Linked DNA regions of Mus musculus. The protein of the gene in region 3 interacts with the protein of the main gene of each other region in a pairwise test. Links are inferred from orthologs where the notes say so. Each region holds a gene or a part of one and is shown on either strand. Other genes may lie near its edges. The genes, in order: Stx11, Ushbp1 and Cchcr1.

Region 1 (3,649 bases), on a different chromosome or scaffold from region 3:
GACAGCACACAGTTGTTCAAAATAAAGTTAGACCCAAACTGGACTGTGCAGACAGGCATGAAATACACTCAGGATCATCAAACAATGGCACACAGCAAAAACTGCTCTTGTTGTTTATATACAGAATTTCCAAAAGCAAAGTCAATCTAATTGGCCATTAATGTACACATAGGAATGGAGATTAGTTTACAATTACACCCATATTCATATGAAATGAAGTACAAAGATAAATTTTAAATAAATGTTATCTGTGAAAAATCCATAAAATGTGACCAATATAAAGCTCAACTTGAGTGCTTGTTCAATATTTGGTGCTTTAAAAATATTCATATATAAGCTGGTGGACGATATAAAAGGTGAGAGAGGTAAGGAGCCAGTGTCCAGTGAGGGTTACTGTGTAGTGGGAGCGAGCCAAGGGAAGGAGTTCACGCAGGGCTCACACAACATAAATAATCAGAAGTGAATGGCAGCCAATTTACCCAAGGTCAAAGTTCCACGAAAATGAACAGACGTAATGAATACTGAAGTGAATGTCATTCAAAACCATATAGCACCAAGGAACTTTCCAGAGAGGATAAACAAAGGCAACTTTTGATAATGTACTCATACTATTAGCATCCTGTTCTCTTGGCTTCCTCCTTTCAAGACACACATCTTAGCAAATGACCTTAGTTCCTCCCCGTGATGCTGAGTGCTATGTATTTTATAATGACATCACACAACGCCAGTGGAAATCTGTCTACATTAAGTAGCCATTGGATATTAACAACTATTCCTTGAAGGCAGCAGGTGCCGGACTCCAAATCTTGCATCCCAACCCCCACTTTCTCTATGCTCTGAATTCTGCAAGGTATTGGGACCCTCTCCCTCGGCCCAGTGCAAGATGCCTTTGGCTGGGCATCCTGGACATGTTTCCCACATGGCACGTGCAGTGGAGACTCAAGCCAGCGGCTAGTTGACACAGGGACAACAGAAGCAGCAGATGGTCCTGCAGGGGTTCTTCTTCTTGTACTGCACCGCCTTGCGCACCTGCGCCTTGGCCTCGCCCGTGTAATCGAGGGTCTTCTGCACGTTAAGCTCGATGACGTTCAGCGTGTCCTCCTGCTTCTCCACTAGCACGGCCATCTGTAGGAAGAGCTCGTGCACATCGCGAATGCGACCCTCCAGGCGCAGGAGCTCGCGGTGGCGGCTCTCGATCTCGTTGAGCGCAGCCCGCGCGCCCTTCAAGTCGGCCAGCAGGTTCTCGGAGAATACATCCCACTTGCCCTGCTCGAACATGTCCTCAATCTGCTCGCCCGACATGTCCTTGCCCATGATCTCCAGCTGCCGCTGGATGCGGATCTTGCAGTTGTCGCGCTGTTTCATCTCGGCCTGGTTGTACTCGTACATGGCTTGCTGGAAAGCGCGGGCCAGCGCGCTGTACTGCGCGTGTGAGATGCGAGCCACCGCCGAGTGCGCGCCGTGCCGGGCCTCGGCCTGCTCGCTCAGCTCCTTCATGGAGCGCAGCTTCTGGTGGATGCCTTCGCCTCGGGTCTTGATGGCCTTGGCGATGGAGTTGGTGTCGCGCTTAATGCTGCTGAGGCGCCGCATGGACGTGAGGAAGCGGACGTTCTGCCTCCCCAGGCGCCTCACGTCTATCAGAAGCAGCTGGTTTTCATCCTGGATGTCCTGGATGACCCTGTACAAGGACTCCAGGATGTGGTCGGTCTCGAACACTATGTCCTCCCGAGGAGCGTCAAAGTCATTGTCCCCATCTGGGAATTGCTGGTCATAGCTCCTGGACAATTCTTGAAGCTCTGCAAGCCGATCCTTCATTTTGCCTACAAAAGAAACAGCAGTTAGGATCCTTTAATGATGGTCAGATCTGTGCATTCAGAGGGGTTGAAGCTCAATGTAAGGAGCTTGCTCTTAATTCCTTTTCCGTGTGGGCATTAAAGCGGCAAAATGCCCTGTGACATTTTATTTAGAAGTAAAGAAATACCGTGACTCAGACCCTTAGTTATGTTTCACAGCCTCTACACGTCTGCAGTTCAATATCACGGGCACCCCCAATTCAATCAGCAATTTAAACTTTTAGATTGCTTTGGGAAACAATTTCTTTTGTTTGCTTTTTGTTTCTCCACCATGAAATTAGGCACACAGACACAAGGAAAAAAACTCAAAAAGGTTTGTAAACTTTTCAATAAAGGCAGCTTACAAGACTTTGAAAAAGACATTAAATGCTCTGTATTTTGTGGCCAATTGTCACTAGTAAATATATTCTCTTGTACTTAGTACAACTTTTAGCCTATGTGGTGGCCAAACCTTTAATCTCAGTACTACAGAGGCACAGGCAGGTGGCTATCAGTAAGTTGGAGGCTAGCCTGGTCTACACAATGAGTTCTTACAGGCCTGGGGCTAGGGCTAGGGCACTTAAGATGAGGTTCTGCTCTTGCTGAGGATCTGTTTAGTTCTGAGCACTCATGTGTGCCGCACTAACCAGCCAGTCTAACCAAATCAGGGAGTGTTAGCTTCAGCGAGCACTCACAACTGCCTGTGACTCCAGGTGATCCAATACCTTCTTCTGGGCATCATGGTCACCTGCACTCACGTGCACATACCCAAAGACAGACAGACAGACAGACAGACAGACAGACAGACAGACACACACACACACACACACACACACACACACACACACACACGAAACTAACAAAAGATGAAAGGAAAAACCCCTTTATCAAGAGCTGAGCATGGTGGTATGTGCCTTTGGTCCAAAGGCAAAGACTGGCAGATTTTTGTAAACTTGAGGCAAGCCTGGTTTACATAGTAAGTTCCATACTAGCCAGGGATGCTGTGTCAAAGTAAATAAGCAAATAAACGAACAAAGGAATAAAGCAAATGCTGTAAGGCTGCTGAGGAGATGGCTCGCAGAACCCTGATCCCTAAGCACCTGTTATTATAAGCCAGATGTGGCAGGGTACACGGGTGATCCCAGCCCTGGGGTTACACAGACAGGAGGTCAGCCAGTCTCACAAAACCAGGGAGCTCTAGCTTCAGCAATAGACTCTGTCTCAAAAAAAAAAAAAAAAAGGTGGAGAGTGACTGAGGAAGACATGTATACACTCATATATATATATGTGTGTGTGTGTGTGTGTGTGTATACATATACATATACACATACACATACACATACACATACACATACACATACACATACACATACACATACATATACATATACTCATATATACTCATATACTCCCACACAGGCACACAGGCACAGGAACACACAGGCACACGAACAAATGCTTTGAAGCAAAATAACAACAAAATAAAGGCAACTGTAGTACGGTGTTACAAACCAAAACTTGGACACTGAAGTCCGTTGCAAAGGTGCGTAGCTGTGGTTTGAGCTGCTGGGGACGCTGAGGCAGGATGAGCAGCTGGACCCTGGGAGTTCTAGTACATCGGCAGAGATCCAGGAATGACGTCAATGCACAAAAAGCTACAACGGTCACAGCGTCTAGAAGGCCATCTAATGACATGAAGATCCCGCATGCTCTCTCAGGTAGGAAAGAGAGCTACAGAGAAAGAATTGCAGCAGCCCCACATGATTGTCTGAATCAGATGTGAGCAAGATGCATCAAAATGTTGAATAACGATTTTC
Region 2 (3,703 bases), on a different chromosome or scaffold from region 3:
TTTATACCTCCCCAACTGAAGCCACCCCCCACTTCAGCCTCCCAAGTAGTTGAGATTTCAAGTGTGCCCACTACATTCAGGAGAATTCATTTTTGTTGTTGTGAGAAGTCTCTGAAAGCTGTGCTAAGCCACGCCCCTAGCCCCTCATTGGAGGATTCTAGGCTGTCACTCTACCCCCCCCAGTCACGCCCACAGCCCTGACTGGAGGATTCTGTATCCCTACTTGTCCTAGTTTTGTTTTGAGACATTTGCCTATCTCGTCAAAGCTAGTGTTAAACTGTGATCCTCTCATCTGAGCCTCTGAAGTCCTTATCATTACAGGCTTGTCCCACCATATCTGGGTTTAACATCACCCATAATCTGTAGGTTTCTGGTCACCTCCACTAAACGCCCCGGGCCACTTCACCCCTCCTCCACCTTCAGGATTATGGTCCACCGCCAGACTGTTCCGCTCACAGTCATCAGATGGCACAAGTGAACGCCTGCAGCAGGTCAGTTCCCCTCAGAATCCACCACACACCAGAGCACACTAGCTTTCAACACCCTGCATACTGTGGCCTTCCCCCACGCGCCTTCATCTCTCCCACTCTGTTCCAGCCACAGTGATCTCAGGATCTGTGGTGGTTCGTGTGAACTTGACATCAACTGGAATCATTTTGGAAGAGGGACCACAATTGAGAAAATGCTCCCCGAAATGGACCTGTGGACACTTTTCTGATTGACAATTGATGGGGAGGGAGGGGCCAGCCCATTGTGGGTGGTGCCATCCCTGGGCTGTTGGTCCTGGTTCTATAAGAAAGCAGGCTGAGCAAGCCATAGGGAGCAAGCCAGTAAGCAGCATCCCTCCATGCCTTGAGGTTCCTGCCCGAGCTTCCCTCAGTGATGGAGTGTGGCCTGAGAGTCTTAAGATGAAATAAATCTCTTCCTCCCCAGTTGCTTTTGGTTGAGGTGTTTTATTACAGCAATAGAAACCCTAAAATAAGTCTGGCATAGCTCACACCTTTAATCCCAGCACTGGGAAAGCAGAGGCAGGTGGATCTCTGTGATTTTGAGGCCACCCTAGTCTACCCTAGTAAGTTCAGGACAGCCAGGGCTCTGTTACACAGAGAAATTCTGTATCCGAAAAAACGAAAAATAAAAAACACCCCCCAAGACAGGATTAGTGTGTGTGTTTGTGTGTGTGTGTAGTGCAACTGACATAGGTAGGGTCTGTAATCCAGGCTAGCCTTGGACTCAGTCTACAGCTGAGAACAAAGTTGGTCTTAGCCAGGGCTCACCTGAGTGGAGACTGTCCCTCTTGGACTTCCTGAGTGTTAAGATCATGGGGTGCAGCCTGCCTGTCTTCCTTGCTCTCCCTCTCACTGTGCTGTCTCTGTTGGTCACTTCCTTGGCACATCTGTCACTGTTCCACATCAGTGTGTCTGCTCCCAAGGCTGGATCTGCCTCTTCCCCAGTCACCAGCTTACCTGTCTCTGCAGAGTCTCCTTCTCTGCCTGGGCGTCCTGCAGTGAAGCCTGAGTGCATGCCAGCTCATCCTCCCGGTTGCACAGGGCTAGCCGCAGCCAGGCGTTCCTCTCTATGAGGCGAGCAGCCTCCTGCTGTCCAGGTCCTGCGTCTTCTTTCTCATCACCAAAGGGCCCCGGAGCCCCCTGGTCTCTGTCTTCTGCTTCCACTGACTTTGGAAAGCTTAGCGAGTGGTGGCGCAAGGCAGCTACAACTGCCTCAAGGGAGCTCAGCCTGCACTGCAAGGTCTCATACACACTGGGTACTGATATCTCAGCAGGGCCACTATCCAGGGGGGCTTCTTGCAGGACCTGGTGGGCTTCCACCTCAGGCTCGCACTGTTCTTCTGGGCTCAAGGATAGAACCGCATGGGATCCCACATCACAACCCTCCTTGATCCTGTGAAGATAGTGGGGGAACCCCAGCCACCTGAGGCTCAGAAGAGACCTGGAGGGCTAACCCTAGGGTCGCTAGGAAGGTAGAGTAGGGAATGAGCGGCATGGCTGGAGGATAAACAGGAAGAGGAGAGAGGCAGGCAGCAGAGGCAATGGGCAGGTGAGTGGCAGGAGGCAGCTTTGTGCAGGGGGGGTGTTGGGGTGTTGGGCTAGAATATAGGGTACATACTAAATGCATCCTACCAGTTCCTTGGGCTCTGAAGGCCAGGACCAAGGTATTCCTGATGCAGCTCAGGTTTAGTCTCGAAGCGTCCATTGTTGGCATCTACTTCCTCTGAGCTCTCAGCTACAGGGTCTAGCTCCCCCTGTGAATGAACCCCGTTTCCCCCCAACACACACACACAGTCTCTTGGCCATCATATCCAGCTCCACCTGTGGAGGACTCCCCTACACCACCACGGGCTCTGAGCCTAGCAGGCCTGGGTTCCCAGGATCCATGGGACTGAGTGTGGCAGGAAGAGGGGCACACTTACAGGCAGAGGATGCCTCCCTCGACGGCTTCGGGGCCGTGTGGCCCGGGCACTCATTGCCTCTGTCACTACAGTCTGCTTTCAGTTCTTGCCTTCGTCACCTTAGAATCCTTGTTTTTTGTTTTTTTGTTTCCTGTAGGATTTTTGGGGTGTCTACTCCGATTGACACATTTAAATATTCATATACCTCTCCAATAGTGCCCACTAACTATCTACTTGTTCCTTACTCCCCCATCCCCCATCTCTACTGGGCATTCTTCTCCCCTCAGCTGTCTGAAGGCGTTTCTCTTATCTGTGCCCCACCCCCCATAGAAGCATTGGGTAGGGACCCTAAAATCCTCTTTCTTCCTACGGCTCTTAGCATCAAACTCCCTCACCCTGGGGGTTGACCCTGCTGCGCTCTTCTCTGCTTCTCCAGAGCACCTTGGGAAAGGCCTGAGATCCAGGGCATATCTCAAGCCATTCTGGCCACTGGCTACTGAGGCTGCGATAGCCAAAAGTGGCCCGGGAGGGGCTGGGAAACAGGAAGCCCCCCTACCCTGATCACATGGACAGTTATTGTTTCGTTTCCTTCTCCAGGATGCCGGCTTCCTCCAGAACGGGAGGAGGATGGAGGACCAGGACCTTTGTCCCGCTCTAAAGATATCAGTATCCCCTTACCCGAGGCCAAACCTTCCATTTTCATTTTGGATTTTTTGTGTCCCCTGTTCACCAGGACTCGCTCTAATGTGAAGGTCTTTGTGTGTGTGTGTGTGTGTGTGTGTGTGTGTGTGTGTGTGTGTGTGTGTTTCTAAAACCAAAAAAAAACCAAAACTGTAGGAGTTGGCTTCAGCATTTGCACAGCTTTTATTTTTCATTACTTTGCTTTACTCATCTTTGTCTGTGGTGGTCCTACTTGTCTCCGAGATCGAACTCAGGCCCCTCAGGATTGGTGGCAAGAGCCTGCACCTGCTCAGTAGCCCACAACGTTTCTCTTCAATGAGTCTGAACTGCTGCATCAGGCGGTTGGAGGCACTGGCAACAATAAGCTTGTCCACAGTGTGTCTGCTGCCTTCTTTACTTTTTCTTTACATTTTAGTTTTTATACAGCGTCTCATTTAGCCCAGCCTGGTCTAAACGCCCGATCTTCGTCTCCGGGTCTCTGGAGTGTTGGGATGACAGGTGTGCACCACCAGTCCTCATCAAGGTACTAGTGAATGAATGCCAACCTAAGTTACATAAGTAACTGAGAAGGCCTTTGGCAAGTCCAAGCCAAGTCCTACCCCGTCAATCATC
Region 3 (3,649 bases):
ACCATGTCTGTGACCTGGCAGAAGGTAAAACCCATGCACCACACCCCAACGCCCTCCTGGAGGCAGGCACCCCATATACAACACTCCAACACCCTCCTGGAGGCAGGCACCCCATACACCATACCCCAACATCCTGCTGGAGGCAGGTACCCCATAAGCAACACCCCAACACCCTCCTGGAGGCAGGCACATGCAGTGCTTTGAATCTTCCAAACTAGTTGGTTCTTCCAAACTAGTCTGACTCTGTGCAAGTTAAAAAGTTTCATCTTTTTATTCTGGTGCCAGGGATTGAAAGCAGAGATACCTGAATGCTAGGCAAGCGCTCTACTACTGAGCTACAGACCAGACCAGCTGTACAATTAGGGTGCCTCCCCCAGCCAGACCAGGCGAGTGTGCAAAGGAAGGAAGGAGGAAGAGAGGGAGGAAGGACTGCACATGGCTCCAGTTCCCATCCCTGAGCTCTGAAGCCACAGCCCCGCCTAGCTGTCCTACTTAGCTTCAGAGCGCACTAGACTGAAGTGCAGGAAGCAGGATCCTCTGCTGTGGCCCAACCACAGCTCAGTTCACTGCGGGTGATGCTGGTGTGATACAGAGGTGACACCCCTCCACCCTGCACCCTCCTGCCCCTCTTCCCCGAGGCTCTTCCAGGCAACAGATACCTGTTCATAGCACCGACCACGAACTTCAACTGCTCTTCAGCAGAGGCTATCTGCTGTTCCTGCCTCCGCCTGGCCTCCTGAGCCTGATCCAGCTCCATCTGCAGGCTCTGGGAAGGATGCAGCTTTGTGTGTACTTTTTCTTGTAGACCTCCCTCCCTGGCACGTGGCCCACACACCCGGGCTAGGGTCTTCTTCACCCTCCTCCCTTAGGGAGCACCCTCAGACCTTGGTGCTCATCCGCTCCACCTCCACCTGTGCAGTTTTGTCTTGCAGGGCACGCTGCAAGATGGCCTGCTCCTGGCTTTGGGAGGTCACTTGCTCCTGGAGCTCTGCTACCTACGGAAGCAGAAGGAGCTAAGCAAGGAAATGGAGAGCCAAAGCTATGGGAACACGGGTGGGAGGGGAATGAAGGAGACAGGGCGGGAGTCTCCGGAGTCGGGCTGCAGAGACGGCCCAGTGGCTAAGAACGCTGGTTGTTCCTGCAGAGTTCCATTCCCCTTTCCCACATGATAGCTCATAACCATCTGTAACTCCAGTTCTCGGAGAGCAAACACCTTCTGACTTCCGTGGGCACATGGTACACATACATACACGCAGGCAAAACATTTATACACACAAAACAAAATAAGCACACCTTTTATTTCTTTCTAAGACAGGGTTTCACTATGTAGCCCTGGCTGTCCTGGAACTGACTATGTAGACCAGGCTGGCCACAGATTCAGAGATCCTCCTGCCTCGGCCTCTGCCTCCTAAGTGCTGGAATTGAAGTGTATCACCACACCCAACTAAATTAATAAGTACTAAAAAAACAAAAAGAAAATAAAAAACCCGGTGTGGTGGGGCGTGTCTTTAATTCCAGCATGAGGGAGAGACAGGCAATCACTTATAGGTCAGAACAGTCTACAGAGTGAGTTCCAGGGCAGCCACAGAACATAGAAACTCTGTCTTGAACCTTCTCTCCGACTCAGGATGCACAAGCCCACACTTTGGGAAACCCTCCTGACCCAAGCCTTCCCCTGACCGTGCCCGTGGCCATGCCCTGGTGGACGTTGTGGCCTCAGAGGCCGTCCCTGACCATCCTATCCATCCACCTCAGTCTGTCACCACTGCTTTTCCGCAGCACTTATGACAATGTGACGCCTACCCATCTTTTTACGTATCCTTCTAGAACTCAAGCTCCGTGAGAACGGGGACTCCTCGGCTCGGGGCTCTGTGCCCTGCACGTGGCAGTCACCCCGAGACTAACTGTCATCACTGTGAGAGACACGGGGTGCGGGATGACAGTGACAGAGACGCAGCCCCTGACCTGGATCCTCAGCTGCGACGTGGAGTCCCTGTGCTGCAGGTCCTGGGCTTTGAGCTGCACCATGAGGGCAAATACCTTCTCCCGCCAGTTGCGCAGCAGCGAGCGGCACTTCTTAGGAAACTCGGGTTCCAAGGGATCTAAAGGCTGAATCTGTACGGGGGAAGAAGGGAGATGGATGTTCTAAGAAAGTGGGGACCTTTGTCCTGCCTGTCCTGCCGTCCACAGTGAGGAGTTTAGGGGTCTTGGTGGCATACCACCCACTACCCCCAGAAAGGGAAGGCCTGCAGCAGGGCAGGGTCTGGAAGATGAGGGAGGGTCCTACCTTCCTGGTCAGCTCCTCTTCCTGCAGGGCGAGCATGTGTGTGAGGCTCTGTACTCGTACCTGCAGTAACTCCACGGTGGCCTGAAGGTCAGCCCGATCCTCCTTCAAGTGCTGGGAGAAGGAACTCCACCAGTCAGGATCTCCATGCTACCTCAGGCTGTGAGCCGTCTCAAGGGCAGCATGGCTTCCCCTCTAGGGCACTGTGCTCTCTCCTCCCAGGTCATGCCCTGATCCCTGGAGTCTTTTCTCTCACCTTCAAGGTGTCTAGAAGCTCCTTTCGTTCCAGCTCCCATTCCTGGCTAGGAAACTCAGGAAGAACTTGTTCCCCCACATACTTCCTCAGACTCTCCACCAAGGTCACCTGAGCTTCCAGCTCTTCTTGGGTCTTGCTAAGATTGAAACAGAAATGGACCAGTCCTCGGTAGAACAGCCTGGCAATGCCGCACCCCTCACTAACAGCCCTGCGCAGCCCACTGACCTCAGCTGGTTCCTGAGCATGTCCGCCTCCTTCTGGGCCATAGCCAGCTGCTTGGCTTCCCCTGCCCGTTTCGTTTCCAGGCTATTCAGAGACTTCTCCAAGCCCTCGGCCTTGCTGGCCAGACTGTCGAGAGCCTTCTGGTGAGCCTGTGTCAGGGAGGACAGCTGTGGAGGAGGAGCATGCTCAGAGAGGGCCAGCCTGAGGGGCTGGAGAGCTCAGCAGGGCAGACCCAAGCTCAGTTCCCAGCACCCAACGCGCAGTTCAGAGGATCCAATGTCCTCTTCTGGCCTCTGAGGCCCTCACACATGTGGTATACACTCACTGACACAACACACACTCACAAGCATAAATAAATCTTCAGGGGGCAGGGCGGCTCACCCCACCTTGGGGCCTTGTCTCTCAGAGAGCCATCTAACTGATCATGCTGCTGTAAGCAATGGAGGAAATCTTGGCCTCTGGTTCTCCACAGTTAGTTTTAAACATCAGCTCCTGCCAGTTCACTTCCCGGTCTCTCCGTGTTCATGCTAACAGCGAGAGTAAAGGACCCCACCTCATGCCTGAGTCTTTCAGGCTGTAGAGACTTGAGTTAGGAGCCCCAAAACCTTTGTGAAAAACCTAGACAGGCCAGCATACACCTGTAATCACCCCTGCTCTGTGGGATGGAAGGAGACACGGGCAGATCCCTGAAGCTCCTGGTCTGGCCTACATGATAAAGTTGCGGGTCAATAAAAGACCCTGTCAGTCTGGCATGGTGGCGCACACCTTTAATCCCAGCACTTTTTTGTTGTTGTTGTTGTTGTTTTGAGACAGGGTTTCTCTGTGTAGCCCTGGCTGTCCTGGAACTCACTTTGTAGATCAGGCTGGCCTGGAACTCAGAAATCCAT

The links.
Region 1: the proteins of Cchcr1 (region 3) and Stx11 interact in binary tests that used the Homo sapiens proteins (3 or more experiments, as listed by UniProt). The link is inferred for Mus musculus from reciprocal best matches to the Homo sapiens genes CCHCR1 and STX11.
Region 2: the proteins of Cchcr1 (region 3) and Ushbp1 interact in binary tests that used the Homo sapiens proteins (3 or more experiments, as listed by UniProt). The link is inferred for Mus musculus from reciprocal best matches to the Homo sapiens genes CCHCR1 and USHBP1.

The regions. Positions count from the first base shown.
Region 1 is NC_000076.6:12,940,164-12,943,812, forward strand, and holds part of Stx11 (syntaxin-11), read right to left. Parts: intron 3,564-3,649; exon of another isoform or gene 3,345-3,563; intron 1,821-3,344; 5' UTR 1,816-1,820; coding exon 952-1,815; 3' UTR 1-951. UniProt on the Homo sapiens protein: SNARE that acts to regulate protein transport between late endosomes and the trans-Golgi network.
Region 2 is NC_000074.6:71,392,909-71,396,611, forward strand, and holds the start of Ushbp1 (Usher syndrome type-1C protein-binding protein 1), read right to left. Parts: upstream 2,894-3,703; 5' UTR 2,806-2,893; intron 2,562-2,805; 5' UTR 2,486-2,561; coding exon 2,432-2,485; intron 2,264-2,431; coding exon 2,142-2,263; intron 1,903-2,141; coding exon 1,467-1,902; intron 1-1,466.
Region 3 is NC_000083.6:35,523,726-35,527,374, reverse strand, and holds part of Cchcr1 (coiled-coil alpha-helical rod protein 1), read right to left. Parts: intron 2,930-3,649; coding exon 2,766-2,929; intron 2,677-2,765; coding exon 2,541-2,676; intron 2,399-2,540; coding exon 2,288-2,398; intron 2,116-2,287; coding exon 1,966-2,115; intron 996-1,965; coding exon 885-995; intron 767-884; coding exon 660-766; intron 1-659. UniProt on the Homo sapiens protein: May be a regulator of keratinocyte proliferation or differentiation.